4 linked regions of the Caenorhabditis elegans genome follow. The protein of the gene in region 1 interacts with the protein of each later gene in a pairwise test. Each region holds a gene or a part of one and is shown in the gene's direction. Other genes may lie near its edges. The genes, in order: cat-4, cla-1, try-14 and C26C6.8.

Region 1 (3,822 bases):
CATTTTGCTTATGCTCTTATCTTATTTATAGTTCAACCTAATAAATTGCGGGGAACTTCCTCTACGAGTGTTACGGTATTATTTGGCAGTACTTTTCAGTAACAACTTTCGATTTTAATTTTTTACTTTTCAAGAATATTGACAATAGCTCAGTTTTTTCAAATAGTTCTTTTTGATTCTCAATCTCTAACTCTGAAGAACCAAAAGTTATGAGAGACTTCGAATAACCCAAAAAATCCTGATCATAACAAAATAGTATTTCAAGTTTTCTTGTTTTCATTCGTCATCACCTCCTCCCAACTTGTACCCAATCAGCCCAGAAATCGCAAATATAAGAAACGATATCTGATGAAAAAGAACTAGAAAACTAGGAAAACATTTACAAGTTCGAAACGCCTCTTCCCTCATCTTCAGCTGATTTTGGAACCGTTCTCGTCATTTCGTGTGAATGTCATCAAAACACATCGAGTCTGCCGGGAAAAAAAAGGCGTGGGTTTGATCTTTCTACTAGCTTTAACTGTTTCAACGAAATTCTTATGTAGGTAGTTAAGTAGAAGAATAGAAGAAAGTGAGTGTACTTCTTTAGACCCCTCAATTCTTTTCATTTTCTTTCTTTACTTTCTCATTTTTCCACCTGATGATGACTTAGAAAGGAAAGTAGTTAAAATTTTACAATTTTTGAAAACCGAAACTGTTGAATGAAATCGTTCCCAAATTTGAGGTCCTACTTTTTTGACATGGTGAAATATTAGAAATTGTATTTTATTTTTGTGGCTGTTGGCAGTATATATGAGAGTTTAACACGGTTTCTGTGTTGTACTAAACTCATTAGTAATTTTTTTGCCAGAATCTAGTTTATTTTTCAGATTGGTTGTTTCGATGAGTAATATTATTAGGTGTGATGAGTTTTAAAAATAGGAGGAGTATATTCTACCACATGTGATCCTATTATTGTTTTTAAATAACTTCCCAGGAGGACCATTTGATGAATTTCGTGAGAAATATATGTGAAGTTTGATAAATTCCAAATTTCGTTTTGAATATAAAGTTTCTCAATTTTTTCGATTGTAGTGCATGAAAGAGTAACTTGTAGATATTAATCTGCCAAAGTTTCGGCAACAAAACTGATAGTGAACTAGAAGTCCACGTGAGTGAAGGTCTATATCATTCCTCGCTGATTTACGATCCTTCTCTCTGTATCTCCTCAGACCAGTCCACTTTTTCTTTTCTTGTTGCGCCTATCCACCTAATCAATCGGTTTCATTTTCTTTTTACATGTTCCTTTTGTTTGCATAAATAAATTATTCTTCCTCCACATTTTCCTGAATACCTAGAAGTGCTGCCATGAAGGAATGGCGGAAAACGATTGATGTATGGGACGACGTCTTCCGTTTCTTTTTCGATTTTTTGCTATTTTCTTATTCTTTTTTTCTCATTTTTTCACATAAGTGGGAAAAGATGATGAAGTCTATCCATTCGACTAGATTGATTTCCTTCTGTCCCTTCATTTTGCCTATTTTTTCCCAGAATACCTTTCATAATACATGACGTGTTGTACCTTTTTTTTTCGTAATTTCTTCTTTCTTGCTTGGACATTGCACATATTCGGTTTCATCCGGCAATTATTTGAATGTCTATCCTTTCTTTTTGTCGCCTACGCTTTCTCAGCTTTCTTAAGATTTACCCACGGCTCATTTTCAATATCACCTTATTTCACTCACTTACTCAATCAATGTTTTCAGGCTTTACCCACTCTATCAACATCATAATATCAAAATGTCCAGAATTGAGAACGAAAGCGGATTTTTGTCATCTGACGCCGCAAGTGTTGGATCCGAAGACGATAAAGTTGAGATGAAGAAAAGAAACGGAACGATTCCAAAGGAAGATCATTTGAAATCAATGTGCAATGCCTATCAGAGCATCATTCAACATGTCGGTGAGTTCATGTGATTCTTTGGTTCGGAAAGTATTAGTCGATCAACAACAAATTTAAAATAAGCTGTTTAAGAATAGATTATAGAGTTCTGAAAACGTACTGTCAACTGTTTACGTCAGCAGAATTAGGAAAACTTTGGTTTCGATAAACATTTCAACACACTTTTTGATTCATTCTAGAGATTATAATGTTTTAGCATTTATTCATTATCAGTGACTCAAAGAATATTGATAAATATTTTCCCAAATATAAATTTGACCAAGATGTTTTGAAAGTCGATGATCTATAACTGATAGTTGTTATTGTCTGGAAGGAAGTTCAGTTCAATATATTCCACTCTCAAATCAAAAATCAAGATCGAAAATTGTTTTAATTTAAAGACTCATGACAAATTGTAATCTATTACATCACGCAATCAAGGTACCCTAGCACATCATCAGGAACTTGTGATTTCAATTGATATATCTATAACATAAATCAGAAAAAAATAGGTTGTGTCCGTTGATTATAAGGGAAAAAATGAAAACAAAATACATTTTCCCACGTTGACTGATTTTGGGAATTCAGGAGAAGACATCAATCGTCAGGGACTTCTGAAAACTCCAGAACGTGCTGCCAAAGCAATGATGGCATTCACAAAGGGATACGATGATCAACTTGATGGTCAGTTATAGCAATACAACGTTAAAGCTCAAAGTTTCATTTTTCAGAGCTCCTCAACGAGGCAGTATTCGACGAGGATCACGATGAGATGGTTATTGTGAAAGATATTGAAATGTTCTCCCTTTGTGAGCATCATTTAGTTCCATTTATGGGAAAAGTTCATATTGGATACATTCCAAACAAGAAGGTTCTTGGTCTGTCCAAGTTGGCAAGAATAGTCGAGATGTTCAGCAGAAGACTTCAAGGTAAATTGAGAAATTACATTTTTGATTGGAACCTAACCTAAACGTTCAAATATTTCAGTCCAAGAACGTCTTACAAAGCAAATTGCCACCGCAATGGTTCAAGCTGTACAACCATCCGGAGTTGCAGTTGTTATTGAAGCTAGTCACATGTGTATGGTAATGAGAGGAGTTCAAAAGATCAATGCTTCCACCACAACATCCTGCATGTTGGGAGTATTCCGTGACGATCCAAAGACTCGCGAAGAATTCCTTAATCTTATCAACAAACGCTAAAAATTCTAGTCATTTCCTTTTTTACTTGTTTTTTTGGGTTTTAACTGTTACTAACTTTTCATAACTTTCCATGTGAATCTACTAACATCTTATGCTTCAGCTTTTTAAATTCATACAACATGTTCATTGCCTGGATACTGTAATATGCTTTTATTGTACATGCAATAAATTACTAAATACCAGATAAATAAAAACAAAAACAATTAACTGGGAAATGAAAGTGATAAAGCTAGCCCAGAAGCACAAACTAAAAAATTAGGAATGAAGGACCAGTGAATTGGGGAAGTTTACAGAAGAAGCGTGAAATAAAAGCCACCGTAATTAGTCAAACAATCACAATCATACACAAGAAATAAACCAGATTGAAAATTAAATAAATATTTTACAAAGAAAAGTCCTATTCAAACATAATGTCATTAAGCGACTCGAGCTCCAAATTACGGCAACTTTCCATGTTTTTCACATTTTGTTGATAAAACATGTAATCTTTTGTGACATATCTGAAAATAGTACATTATAGTTGAAATTTCAGTAATTTATTCTTACCCGTATTTTAAAGGGTCATGAGGTGTGATACCCATTCCAGTGACGTGTTCTCGTAAGTTGGCTTTAAAGTTTTCGTGTACTTGACGGAACAACGCCTCGATCTGATCTCTTGGCATGATGCCAACCAGTCCATTGTGGAATTTCAGCATATGGCGA
Region 2 (5,038 bases), on another chromosome or scaffold:
AGAGAAGGAACATATTCGACAAATGTCATTAATGGCAGAGAAGATGGATGAAGAGATTCTCGATGAACAGTCTAAACCAAAATCTACATTTGGACTAAAGAATTTCTTCGGAAAAGCTACCCAGTCGGTCATGCATGCTACAGATTCTGTGATAAAGAACGTTCAAAATCAATCAAAGCAATCTCTTAGTGGTCTAACCCAAGAAGAGCTAGATAACATTGCACAGGCTACTGAAAGTGCTCAGCAAGAATCTAAGCAAGAGCTCACACAAGATGAAATAGATCACATTGCCAGAATTAATGCTATGGCAGCGGAAGACTTTGAACAACCCGCAGTTAATATGAATCAAGGATTGTCACAAGCAGAGAAAGATCATATCGCTCGTATTGAGGCTATGGCAGCGGATGATTCACAATCTAAAATCATTGTTCCTCCTCCTTCAATTATCCAAAAAGATATTGAACTTTCAATGGAAGAAATGGATCACATTGCTCGAATAGCTGCAATGGCTGACGAGGACTTTACACATCCTGTTAAAGGAGCTGTCGCGCCAATTTATGATGAAAATTATAGTAGGGACGATGGTGCAATTGATAGATTCCCAGCTTCGACAGCTACTCCAGTGTTTGCGCAGCCGTCTGAAATTGAACTTTCTGAAGAAGAGCGTGAACATATTTCCAGAATCGCTGCAATGGCTGAAGAAGATTTTAATACACCATACGTTTCAACACATCCAACACAGCAAATTGAAATAGAACTAACGGAAGAAGAAAAAGAACATATTGCAAGGATCGAGGCGATGGCTTCCGAAGATTTAAATGCGCCATCTCCCTTTATCCAACAAGAGCAACGAGTTGCGACAATGCCAGTGCCAATTAATTATCATGTTGAAGAACCAACTCTATCGCAAGAAGAAATTGATCACATTGCAAGAATAACAGCTATGGCTACTGAAGATAACACTGATCTACAAACTCTACCAACTCCTCAAGTTAAACAAAATGAACCGGAGCTCTCCCAAGAAGAAATAGATCACATTACTCGAATAGCTGCAATGGCAAATGAAGACTTTGGAATGTATCCTTCAATTGTTTCTGAACATCCTGCTCCAGTTGAATCTGAACTTACTCAAGAAGAACTTGATCATATCGCTAAGATCACAGGAATGGCATCTATGGACATCAGTACTCTACCACCTCCAACAGGAAAACCATCCGAGACATCACTTACTCAGGAAGAACTTGATCATATTGCTCGCATAGCTGAAATGGCATCAGCAGAATATGATGTTCCTGTAAAAATATTCGAACCACCAGAACTAACTCAAGAGGAACTTGATCATATAGCAAAGATTACTGCAATGGCTGCACAAGATGTCCAACTTCCTGCCACCCAAAGATCGATTACTCATAAGGTTTCGTTGACTCCACCTCCTCCTCCTCCTTCTAAACACTTTGAGCAAGATCTCACTCAAGAAGAGCTTGACCATATTGCAAGAATTGCTGAGATGGCTGATATGGATTATAACACTCCATTCACTGCTGAACCAGTTCAAGATGAAGAAGAAGAACCAATAACAGAAAGTGGATCAGATGCAACATCAGGTGCTGATATATTCGATGAACAAGAAGATGCAAGTTCAGGCGCCAGCGGCTCCTTCGATAACAACAATGCTCAAGTGCTAACGAGCGGCTTCTCTCCAGATCGAGTTACATCTCCTGCTGCACTTGACACAACTGAAGAGCCCCAGGGTCCTATTATGGCTCAGAAGGTGAGAAATAGACGTTGTTTTTTGTGTGCGAGCTGTTTCTATTTTCCCAGCCATAAATACTTTTTTTTCACATTCACCATGTTGCTATGCATGCCGTGGCAATGCAACGGTGTCATTAAATATTATGCAGATAGCGTGACAACTCCCAGATTTTCAACTTTTCCCCTTTTTTGACTACTAAACACTACTATCCAACAGGATTTTATGATTTTCAGACTGTGTCTCCGACGCCATCAGCAGATTCGATGGCGTCACGGAAGAGTAGTGAATACGACATTAGAAGTATATCAGAGATTAGGCAAGAGTCCGAGTCGGATATCGGAAAGTGGTATGCTGAATTTTTAATAAACCTTTTTTTTTCTTTTTGAAAATTAGTGTTTCAATTTTACTATTTTGTTCAGGTATGAGGAGCAACTCAGTTTCATGCGACAATCGATCCACGATGAGGAAGAAGATGTGGGGCGTAAGTGGTTTAAAAAAAAAACTTTTATGCGCTTCAGTGTAGGTACACAGAGGCCTACTCACCTACCTAGTATAATTTGCTAAAACAAATTCTACTCGACAAGAGAATTTCTACAGCAAAGAAAGCAAAAGCTAGATAAAATGTTATCAAAAATATTTTACAAGAGTGTTTAATTAATTCTTAATTCTACAAAAAACAATTCTAATTGCAATCAGCAGACTTTTATCTGAACTTTCAAAATTTTCCACTATCCACTCTGTTTTTGACTCAGAAAAACGTCCAAATAAAAGAAATGACTGAATATAATTTCATTAGACCTATGTAATACAAATATTACATTTTTCTTCTCTATTTACTTTTTTATTTTTGAAATTTCAGATGAAATTCGAACTGACGTTGAAGAGTTCCCATTGGAGTATGTTGAGGATCAACTTCACTTCCTTGAAGGTGAGTTTTCTGTCAAAAATGAAAAATTCATAGCACAAATCAAAAAGCGAGACGAAGAGACCAAATCTCAAAGCAAAAAAACATATATTTGCAGGTATTGACGTAGAGAGCCAACACCATGAGCCCACCACTTCTTCTGCCTTCTTTGGCACCGGAAGATCGATTGGTGAAGGGGAAAAGAGAAAATATGGTGACGACGCCGTGGAGCAGCAAAAACTGGAGAACTACGAAGAGGAGGAGAAGACGAAGAGTAGTAGTCGTGAGGCTTTTGATGATGGATTTGAGACGCAGAGAGAAGAGTCGTTGAGGGCGCAGCAGACACCCATCGATTCACTGCCGGGTAGTCGTATGTTGAAGCGACCCAATTTCGGCTTCCTTTCTAATATTGCAAATGATGCTATTAATAAGGTAAGTAATTGAATATTCACTATGACCTATCAGACTTCACCGTTTGAAAAAAGACCATGAACAAAAAACTAAAACTCAAAAGACTACGTTTTTGAAACTGTAAATGCGCGAAGCTATTCAAAATATTTTCAGTCACTATAGAAATTGTTATTTTTTTTAGAGCTGTTTGACTGAAAATAAATAATTGTCCAAAATTGTTTGACAGGTTTTATTATGATATTTGGTATGGATATTTGAAATGATTTTCCAATAATGTAGAACATATTATGTTGCAACAATTTGTTTTTTTCTGTTATATTCAAATTTACTGTTTTCTAGAAAAAAAACATAGAAATTATGTTAACATCTAAGAAACTCTTCAATCAGCATTTTTTCTTAAAAATAACTAACTTTTACATGCAACATTTTGAGAATATGAGTAGTTTTTTATACACACAAATTTATATATTACATGAATTCATTTTCAAAAAAAAAAAACCATTTCAATGTCAGTATACAAAACCAATTTCGCAGTGTCTTTGACTCTCCAAGAGCAGCTACGATGGGCTCGTTACTCACGGAATTCGACTTTCCGGTCTTTCCAAAATAACGCAAATGTGTTGTTCCCTCATCCAACAAACACTATACAATCATTTGTTCTTCCTTTTTTCTTTTTTTTTTTTAGCGGTCACACATACACCATTCCAAAAGATGTACCCATCGTTTTGGTCTATTTTCCACTTTTTTATGTTTTGTTGTATGTGTCGCTTATGCATAAATGTAGGGTGTGCAACAAAAAGAAACACTTTAGGATTCGGCTCGGGGGACCCCCATGCCTCATTAATTTTTTGCGAGAAGACATGCGTGTGCTCTTCTCTCCTTGTCACTTTCGATAATTGCTCTTTTTGCAGGCAAAGGAAGCGGGTTCGCAAATCCAAGCCGCCGTACCCATCAAGGTGAGTGAACTTTTTTCTTTTTATTCTCTTTCCGTAGGGCTTCCGACCCAATTCAATTATGGTAACACGATTTTGATCTAGATCTCATGACTAAACGCTCACGAGTTTTTCACTTGATTGATTACTTTTTTTTGAGAAACTGCTTTTGGTATTAATATTATAAACAAACAATTAACTAATTCACAAAACGGCTAATGTTTTTAAACATTACTTCTGTAAATTAATTTTTTTGAAATAAATTAAATAACCTCAAAATAATAAAAACTTTTCAGCCATCCTCTTCATCATCAAATATTGTCAACAACAATGTCTTCTCTAGCAGGTAATTGATATTTTGTCAAGTCAACTATAAAAAAAACAATTTCAGCAAATCCTCAACCTCCCTAGGCACCAGTGCTCCAACCAAATCTATTCCGTAAGTAACATAAAACATTCCCAGTATATCAGATTACTCCCCGCACGTACACTTTTCTACCTCCCCTCTTCTTTTTTCTTTTGATTTTCATTTCCTAAATGGTTAATTTTGAAATTACAGCTCTCCACAAATCGGTATTCCGATGGATGGTCTTTCCGAAGAAGAACGTCGACAAATCATGTCAGTTATGGCTGCAGCCGACTTTGACGATTCTGTTAATAATGTAAAACCAAGCACAAGTGGTTCATCAAATATTCCAGCAGGAATGGAGGATCTTTCGGAAGCAGAAAGAGAAAAGATCATGTCAGTTATGGCAAATGCAGAAATGGAGATGGGCGCACGTTTCCCTCCTCCTTCAAGTCAAATTCCAACAAGATCTCCCAGTGTTATGAGTTCAAGTATAATGTCCGAATTACCACCTGGACTCGATGATTTGTCAGATGATGAAAGAATGAAAATTATGGCAGTTATGGCAGAAGCTGATATGCAGAATGTGCGAAAACCCATTGCAAGAGGCCCACCACCAATGCCACCAAGGTTAGTTAGCCGACAATGAGACACCAAAATTTTAAGATTATGAAACACAATGAATGCTTCAA
Region 3 (4,356 bases), on another chromosome or scaffold:
CTATTTAATAAAACCAATTTCAATTTCACAATTTCAGGTTCGATAATCTTCCCAGTAAGCAACTTCTGACACTTTCGCTGCAAGCTCCCGACTCATGGATAGTGGAAGCCGTTTCTGCCAAGTATGATTTGGATAACATCAAGATGGAACAAGCCAACGGAGATGTCACTGCCGAGTTTGCACTCCAACACTTACTTCTCGATGGACAGTGTTTCGACGAAGTTAGTGGTCAACCACCACGCGGTCTGCAGTTCACTTTGGGAACGGACAAGAACCCTAAACAATTTGATACAATCGTTATGGCTAATTTAGGATATTTCCAACTTAAAGCAAATCCTGGTGCTTGGAAACTAGAGATCCGTGATGGAAAATCTAGTGAGATTTACAAGATTGGATCGCATGTTGGAGCGGAGAAGATTGGGGAGGATGTGCTTCAAGTTGTTATTGACTCATTCACTGGTAAATCAGTAAGAGTTCGTGTTGAAAAACGTGAAGGCATGGAGGAGAGAAATCTTCTTTCCGACGATGAAGAAGGTGTTTGGAGCAGTCTTAGCAAGTAAGCATTTTGTTTAAACTCTTTTGAAATAATCTCATAATGTTATTTTCAGCTTGGTGAGCAGCAAAGAAAAAACCCAGGAAGTGATCAATGTATTTTCTCTCGCATCCGGTCACTTGTACGAACGGTTCATGAGAATCATGATTGTCTCGGTCATGAAGAACACGAAGCATCCAGTTAAATTCTGGCTTCTCAAGAACTACCTGTCGCCACAATTCAAAGAGACACTTCCAACTCTTGCCAAGCACTATGGTTTCGAGTATGAACTGATCGAGTACAAGTGGCCAAGGTGGCTTCACCAGCAGAAGGAGAAACAACGTATTATGTGGGGATTCAAGATTCTTTTCCTTGATGTACTCTTCCCACTTGATGTTCAAAAGGTGATCTTTGTGGACGCTGACCAGGTGGTGCGTGCTGATTTGATGGAGCTGATGAAGTTTGATCTTGGAAATGCGCCATACGGATATGTGCCATTCTGTGAAAGTAGAAAGGAGATGGACGGATTCCGATTCTGGAAGCAAGGATATTGGGCGAACCATCTCGCTGGGAGAAGATATCACATTAGTGCTCTCTACGTTATTGATCTTCAAAAGTTCCGTCAAATCGCTGCCGGAGATCGTCTTCGTGGACAATATCAAGGACTATCTGGCGATCCAAACAGTCTGGCTAACTTGGATCAAGACTTGCCAAATAACATGATCCATCAGGTTAAGATCAAATCGCTTCCACAAGAGTGGCTTTGGTGTGAGACTTGGTGCGATGATGGAAGCAAGAAGAATGCAAAGACTATTGACTTGGTAAGTTGATTGAACACAACTGAAATGCTGTGCCATTGATCTGTTTTAAATTTCCGTGAACAATTAACAATTTTCAGTGCAACAACCCGCTCACAAAAGAGCCAAAGCTCGACTCAGCCGCCAGAATTATTGGAGAATGGAAAACGTATGATGACGAAATCCGGGAAGTCATTTCTGGACATTCTTCTGATAACCCTTCGGATAATGTCATTTCTGAAAATGATGACTCTCACACGGAACTTTAAATTAATCTTTTCATATGCCAAGTTTACCCGTTATTTATTGAAAATGTTTCCAATCACCATTATGATATTCAAAACTCTGGGTATATTTTTTTCCAAATCAGTCGATTCGCTTTTTCTGCTATTTATTTTTTAGCTTTTGACTATGAGAGCTTTCAAAATTTCATTTTCAAATATTGTCAAACTTGTGATGAATCTTTGAAACATTTTTTTGCCTCTCTCTATCCAATAAATATTTTCTTTTTCTTGATGTGTGGGTGTATTAAAGAATGCATTTGCTTGATTTTTCTGAAAGCGGATATTACAACAATATCAATGCGATGCTCGTCGGGTCAAATCCTCATTCGAATCATTTGATCGAAAGAAGATGTTTCGAGCGGTCATCGTTTCCTCTCTACTTGCATTCGTGTTTTCAATGTACATTGCGGACCCGGCAAAATGGGAACGCCATCAGTACTTGGTGAAGGTAAGACTTGCTCAACTCGCTTCGAATTTTATGTTTTATGTTCAGGTACTCACTAAGGATACCAAACTGAAGAATATCTCAACTTGCACGGGAACTCTTTTGTCTCCATCCGTTGTGCTAACCAGCTCGAAATGTTTCCCAGACACCAGAAAGTATGGTTTCAAATTTTTAAATATTCCCGTAGCAAAATAAGAAGCTTACGAACGAACATAGCGCATTATAGTCTCTTACATTTTACACTTTTTCTGCTCTGAATTCGACTACGCAAAAGATTCGTGAATTGGCTTGTTGTGCGGAATGTGCTGACAATTTTCGATTGAAAACTTAGACGAAACTATGCCAGAGATAGTTTATAGAAATATATGTATAGCAACTGTTGGTTTAGAAGAAACGCTGAAATGGATTTTTATTTGAAGGCAATTTAATATTTATTTAGGAACCTTATTGCACAAGCTATTATCAAAAAGAAGGATTCCTCTGCTACCATGAACAAAGCAATGCTTGCTGTGAAAATTGACGGCGACTTGGCTCTGATGAAAATCGATGCGGTTAATGAAGATCATGTAAAAAAGACTCTAGTATTTGCAACTCTTATTAGAGAAATTATTTTTATAGTTTTGCGATAAGGAGCCACACCCACCAAGAGTTGCACGGCTCAACTTCAAACCAAGCTTGACTGATGCTACTTACCGTACAATTGTGCCAAGGGATCTTCAAGATTCCAAATGTAGAGTGATTGGATTTGAAACTACGGAAGATGGTTCGTAACTACAAAACTATGTAGCTACTAAATAAGTTATTATATTTTTAGTGGAAGACTTCGCTACTTCACACAAAGTCCAAGTATTGGATCTTGATGTTCACGCTGACACAGAAAATCTCATGTTCTCAGAAGTTAACAGTAACTCTACAGGTCGTGTTTGCTGGGTAAGCGTTTTTGTTGTTTTTTGGAAATACACACTTTCAAACTTTGCATTACTTAGTTTTTATAAAAAGTAATTGTTCAAATTCAGGATGATATAGGAGCACCACTGGAATGTGTTCTGGATGTAGAAAACAATAAATATGTTCAAGTAGGAATTGTTTCTGGTCTCTACGGGCGTGAGGTAGGCTTATCGCTTATTTTGTCTTTAAACTTATGATTTTTATAGATGGACAAGGAAGACAACAGCACAATGGTGGTTGTCAACTGCTCAGAAGTTCAGGTAAAATCAACGAGCAATTATTCTGAATACATTACGTAATAGAAATTCTTTATAAAAAACCGCATTTTGTAGTGTTGAGAATCTTATCAGACAACAAAATACGCCGGTGATTGATTTCTCATCTTTTGGACTTTCGGGAGGAAATATGAGATTAAAAGAAACGGGGGGCAAGGGGCAAAGTAAATAATCTTCTCCATTATGTGGATTTCCAATATTATCAATTTCCAGACCATGCAATTTGTTGTCTTTAGCGACAATACATTTGTCCATGCTATTGAGAATGTGGACAAGGCTAGCGTTTTTGAAGCACAGGACAAATGCTTCTAATTTAAATTCCACTTTTTCATTCTTCATTCCCTTTGAAATAAATGTTTTTATGATGCAATAAACACTTGTTGGTCCCTTATAACGTATTGATTTTCGTGTGCACATTTTGTGTTTGCTCTGTACTTCTATTCTTACGTTTGCATCTTTCATTCTATCCTTTGGTTTCAATTAAAATTGTTGCAAAAACCTAAATGAACATCGGTCTTTTTCAAGAATCTTTTAGTGTAATAATTGTGTTTGAAAATCAATCAGATGTTTGTTGCAGAAAAAATGAAAAAGAAACATTCTATTTTTTTGAAACAACGAACTTCTCATTACTTCGAATGTTTTATATTTCGGTACTTGTGTAGTACATACCTAGCCCAAAAATGTTAACCATTTTGAAAATGTGTCCGTGACCCTTTGTGTTCATATTATCCTCGGGATCAGTGTTTTTTGAGCATGGAAATACAAATCAATTTCAGTTTTTAATTAAATAATTGTTTTATAAAGAAATGAACGGAAAATGTATTGCAAAATGTTTTTGAACCTGGTATACTTCACAATTACCAAAATTTTACCCAAAAAACTAAGTAAACGTAGAAAATAAATAAGTGTTTAGCTTATTCTAATTAATGAGTTGTCTGTTCAAAAATTCTTTGAAGCCGTGCGTTTTGATGTCTGCTCTTTTGAACTCTATGCTACAACTATACACGTTCTGTGTTGCCATAGAAAATGAATTTCCCATTGGTTTCGCCCATTTCCTCAGCTTTTTCTTTCAGTA
Region 4 (4,558 bases), on another chromosome or scaffold:
GGGTTTAATAATATTTAGTTAATTGTGTTTAAAAATTTCAATGTTGTGTAGTTTAACATTTCCTCACTCAACAGTGTTCAATATTTAAAAAAAATTTTGCAAGGAAAATTGGAAATATGCCAAAACTTCATCTGAAACAAAAGTTAAATGTTTAGTTTCTCTGTAAAAACGTAAAAATGACAAATATTGAAATAGTGAATTGAGACTTGAGAAGACTTTTAGATTTCAAAAAGATTTCAAGACTATTACACAAAAAAAAATCAGACAGAAACAAAAAACAAAAAAAAATTATTAAAAGATTGACACTGACATGTTTAAAAAGTCACAAAACATTTTCGAGTACGTAGTTACTCGAAAAAGAAAACTAAGATCTATATGACGTCATTTTGATCTGACACAGGTGACACATCTCATCCATCCCGTAGCTCTTCTCCCACAGAAACATTTTGTGGTGTGAAGTTACTAGATGCACACTTTACTACTTGAATGGAGGAGGTTAAATGATGAAAGAACAGAAGGATGCTCATTATGATTGTGATGTTTCAAATATTATAATTATTGTTTCACTTTTGCAAGTTCTATAAATTGATTGAAAAATTGACAAAACTCTGGATTCAGAAATTGCATTTTTCAAAATGTGTAAAATTTCAAAAATCGTGTTATAAATTTTAAAAAAGTCCAATGTTTCTGATAAAAAAATGTTTTAATTAGATGAAACACTGAAATTGTTCAGTTTTTGTCAGTGAACAAGAGAAATCACAGAAAAATTGTTCCGAAAGGGACTACTTTACTCCCTATTTGTCTTGAAATCTCTCAAAAATCAGTATCTTAGAAATTATAGTTAACCCACAAAAATACACTTTAAACCGTTCAAAATCTATTCATTATTTTTTCAAATAAGTTCAATATGTTATAGAACATCTTTGATATGAAGCATATAACAAACGTCATCATAAAACATCATATCACGTTCATAAAATCCTTTTCTTTGAGGAATTGTCTTGTTACAGATTGCACAACGGAAACAATCAATATGAAAGAGACGATTAAATGCAACAAGTCCTCGTTCAATTACTGGCAATGAGCATCCTGTAAAATTTGTTTTTTAAGTAATCGTAAGGGGCTCTAATCTTTCCTATATGTAGCTGAGTAATCAAAGTTCGTATAACCCGTGCAAAACCGAATTCACAAGCCATATCATTCAATTTTTAATTTCTACTAATCAGTACTTCGAAGAACTAAAAATACCTGTGCAAGATGGATGATTTGTTTGAATATGACATGCATAACATGATGGTTTCATTGGATCAATTGATGAACGGAAATAACGATTGTCCGAGATTTGAAGCTAAAATTGGATATTTTGAAATTTTGGAAGTGCTTTTTTCCGAACGCTTCCAAAACTAACTTTACAAAAAATGCATTGAATATGATCCCGATGCCACATTCGATTCAGAAAGAAGACAACTTTGTTCTAAAAATTACTTTTTTAAAGGAAATACACCAATTGTGGATTTACCTTTTCGACATCCTCCTCGGCGATTTTGGCTTTACATCCTGCACAATTGATAAACTCAATAGTCATTTTTCTAGTTTATTTGGAAATAAATTATTTTTTATTAAAATTGTATTCTTCGCCTCCGAATTTGTATTTAGTAAGCGGTTGCCACGTAACTGGTATTAAAATTTATTGGTTTTTAATTGAAAACTTCCAAACAAGATACAAAAGTTTATGCATCTCTGCATGGTAATCTCCAAAATACATAAAATATCACAGATTCCTTATTTCTAGGGCAAAATAAGCCATTATACTGAAGCCAAATAATACTGTCCGCCTTTCATGCCTTTCCCTCCCGAGACTCCATCTTTTTTTCCAATCAGATCCAATTTTCGGTGAACAAACAATAATTTGACATGCCTCTGTTGATTAACCGTGTTTTGTGAGCAATTCATTGGCTTTTCGTCGCACAAAAACAATGGGCATTAGGAGCATTTTTTGGAAAGTTGTATCTGGAAGAGGTGAGCACAGTTTGTCCCATTTTTTTTCTAATTTTAGCTGATTAAAAATAAAACCTCCAAAAATGAATTTCAGTGCCCGATAATGGTGGATGGGTTGACAGTATGCAAGTGGATCATTTTGATCCTTATACTCCAGGACAACTAACAAAAAACTTCACAGCAACTGTATAGTTTTCAGTTTTTCCAAATTACCCCAATTTCTAACCTCTCACTTTTAAGGTTGCTGACGAAATTAGTGTAACCCGTGGCACTACAGTTAAAGCAATTTATCGAGATGATCAATGGATTTATGTTGAGGTATCTGATGGAAGAAAAGGATTTGTTCCACAGACATATTGTAAATTGCTTTTGAATTCAAAACACGGTGAAAAGGTGAGCGTTTTAGATGTTCTAGAAAAGTTATTTTTAGTGCAAATCTTAAAGAATGCAACAACACGTGTAATTGTGGCATTTAATGATATTCATTTAAAACTACTGTATCCGGTCTCGACACGACCGAAATATGCGCAAAAGAATGTGCGCCTTGCGAATTACTGTAACCACACTCCTAATTATTTCCAATATTTCATAGATATTTCATAGTTTTGTCATTGAAAAATCGAAGAAAAGTGGTGAAAATCATTGTCACCTTTAGTGAGAACAACTTAGAAGCCACGTGATGTCAGAGAGTCCCATTTCGGTTTGATCTCCAAGAATTTCGGGAATGGAACCGTTGAGAAATCAAATCAAATACTTTTCAGAAAAAGGTGATCGGATCCAGCGCGACACTTGATCGCCGTTGGGAAAAATCAAATTTGCAGAGATTTATCGACAGTCTTCCTGTTCAAAAAGAAGAAGGAGAGGTTTTTAAAATGGTTTGTTTTGAATAAAGCTATTGAATATTCTTTTGATACTATCTGCAGGATGAGATATGCGAAGTTCAAATACTACAGTCATTTGATGGATCAGCTCCAGATGATATATCTGTGAAAGATGGAGAATCTGTCACAGTTTTGAATATATCAGATCCTGAGTGGACCTATATTCGAAATTCGGACAATCAATCTGGTTTTGTACCTTCTTCCCATGTTAAGATTCCACATGAAATATTGCAACAAGCTAGCCGTGTCATTAAAGAAAAATGGTATCGTAAGTTCGCAGTTTTCTGAAACGCTTAAAGGTGTACGGACTTATTCAGATGGGTCATGGGTGTTATTCTGTTTTTTTTTTCAGAATTAAAAGACTCAGAAGACGCGAAAATTTGTTATTTTTGCGCCAAAAATACAGTACCCGGTCTCGACACGATAACAATTTTGTTAAGTGTGAAAACGTGTGCGCCTTTAAAGACTACTGTAATGTAAATACAACTTTTCGTGCTCATAGTTTTTCTCACGATTAGTAAAATAAAATATATGTGTTTTGTGGTTTTTTAAAATAAATAAATACATTTTTTAACGGAGAATTATGAAAAATCTATGCAAATTCCTCAACAACGAAAGTTTGAAGCTACAGTACCCTTTAAAGGCGCACATCCGTTTACATTTGATAAAAAATATTGTCGTGTCGAGATTGAGTACCATATTTTTGGCGCAAAAATTGCAAAGTTTCGCGTATGGGTAATAAAAAATCAAAAGAATCGACTTTAAAATTGTTCACGAAATTCCCGAAAAAAGCAAAAGGGCCGTTGCAAGATAAAAAACTACTGCCATAAATGTTTTTCTCGTGCTTGCGTTTCAAAAGATTGCGAAATAAACTGATTATATTTTGGCTTGGCAAATTTATTTAATTTTTAGGGAAAATGAAAATCTTCTCGTAGTCGAACCTTTTTCTGGAAGATCACCTCTTGATCTAACAGTCCGACCAGGTGAATGGATAAAATGCACTGGAAGACCAGTAGATGATTGGTTGTGGGCCGTCCGAATCGCTGACGAGAAGCAGGGATTTATCCCGAATAAAGTTGTAATTTTGGCGACAGATCTTTGATGTTTGATTTATCGTTTGAATTTGTTTCATACCCGACCCATTAATAAAAATATTTTAAAAAAAGGTGAATTGGAAATGATAATAAATTTAGTGACTGAAGTGGGTAGTAAGAAATACAATCAAGAAACGAATAAATTATTGAAAATAAATAGGATTTAAGGTATTCGTGGGAATCATGAGAGGATAAAAACAGAAGGAGCACACATAACTGGTTATCAGAAAATACATTAAAAGAAAAAGAGATTCTTGTTTTCTGGATTGAACGGGGAGGCGAGATAGGGTAGGATAATTATGATAAAGTTATAAAAATTGCATAAAATTTTAACAAGAGATCCACTGATTTCATTGAGTTGGTCGGTCCATTACAAGACTACACGTACTCTTCAACAATTCATCGCGAAGTTTCCACAAAGCTTTTGTAACATCCTCTTCGCGAGCTACAGGTCGTCCGTTTTCAATTCTCTGAAATTATGAAATATATTTTACAAGAAGAAATAGTCGAACTAACCCTTATCCAATGAGATGGAGCGCGGGCATTTCCAGCTGGTTGGGTATTCCTGGCAGTTGCTCCTAGAGT

The links.
Region 2: the proteins of cat-4 (region 1) and cla-1 interact in a two-hybrid assay, tested with the Caenorhabditis elegans proteins (one large-scale study listed by BioGRID).
Region 3: the proteins of cat-4 (region 1) and try-14 interact in a two-hybrid assay, tested with the Caenorhabditis elegans proteins (one large-scale study listed by BioGRID).
Region 4: the proteins of cat-4 (region 1) and C26C6.8 interact in a two-hybrid assay, tested with the Caenorhabditis elegans proteins (one large-scale study listed by BioGRID).

What each region holds. Positions count from the first base shown.
Region 1 is NC_003283.11:10,563,138-10,566,959, forward strand, and holds cat-4 (GTP cyclohydrolase 1), read left to right. Parts: upstream 1-1,742; 5' UTR 1,743-1,776; coding exon 1,777-1,939; intron 1,940-2,506; coding exon 2,507-2,602; intron 2,603-2,649; coding exon 2,650-2,847; intron 2,848-2,905; coding exon 2,906-3,120; 3' UTR 3,121-3,302; downstream 3,303-3,822. Other genes in the region: vps-54 (Vacuolar protein sorting-associated protein 54), read right to left, coding at 3,518-3,620, 3,667-3,822. UniProt on the Caenorhabditis elegans protein: Involved in serotonin and dopamine biosynthesis that affects movement, mating behavior, foraging behavior, and cell migration.
Region 2 is NC_003282.8:7,608,664-7,613,701, forward strand, and holds the start of cla-1 (Protein clarinet), read left to right. Parts: upstream 1-2,016; coding exon 2,017-2,099; intron 2,100-2,172; coding exon 2,173-2,234; intron 2,235-2,612; coding exon 2,613-2,681; intron 2,682-2,775; coding exon 2,776-3,089; intron 3,090-3,979; coding exon 3,980-4,024; intron 4,025-4,296; coding exon 4,297-4,346; intron 4,347-4,391; coding exon 4,392-4,439; intron 4,440-4,559; coding exon 4,560-4,976; intron 4,977-5,038. UniProt on the Caenorhabditis elegans protein: Required for synapse development in the active zone of presynaptic terminals of specific neurons including serotonergic NSM neurons.
Region 3 is NC_003284.9:7,493,171-7,497,526, reverse strand, and holds try-14 (Peptidase S1 domain-containing protein), read left to right. Parts: upstream 1-1,935; 5' UTR 1,936-1,962; coding exon 1,963-2,061; intron 2,062-2,106; coding exon 2,107-2,213; intron 2,214-2,497; coding exon 2,498-2,624; intron 2,625-2,676; coding exon 2,677-2,821; intron 2,822-2,872; coding exon 2,873-2,988; intron 2,989-3,074; coding exon 3,075-3,167; intron 3,168-3,212; coding exon 3,213-3,266; intron 3,267-3,494; coding exon 3,495-3,593; 3' UTR 3,594-3,803; downstream 3,804-4,356. Other genes in the region: uggt-1 (UDP-Glucose Glycoprotein glucosylTransferase), read left to right, coding at 38-556, 609-1,353, 1,431-1,598.
Region 4 is NC_003279.8:7,502,999-7,507,556, reverse strand, and holds C26C6.8 (SH3 domain-containing protein), read left to right. Parts: upstream 1-1,914; 5' UTR 1,915-1,976; coding exon 1,977-2,019; intron 2,020-2,092; coding exon 2,093-2,184; intron 2,185-2,238; coding exon 2,239-2,391; intron 2,392-2,759; coding exon 2,760-2,873; intron 2,874-2,921; coding exon 2,922-3,142; intron 3,143-3,791; coding exon 3,792-3,981; 3' UTR 3,982-4,034; downstream 4,035-4,558. Other genes in the region: C26C6.6 (LIM zinc-binding domain-containing protein), read right to left, coding at 911-1,089, 1,249-1,348, 1,409-1,474, 1,520-1,585; pbrm-1 (Bromo domain-containing protein), read right to left, coding at 4,324-4,443, 4,490-4,558.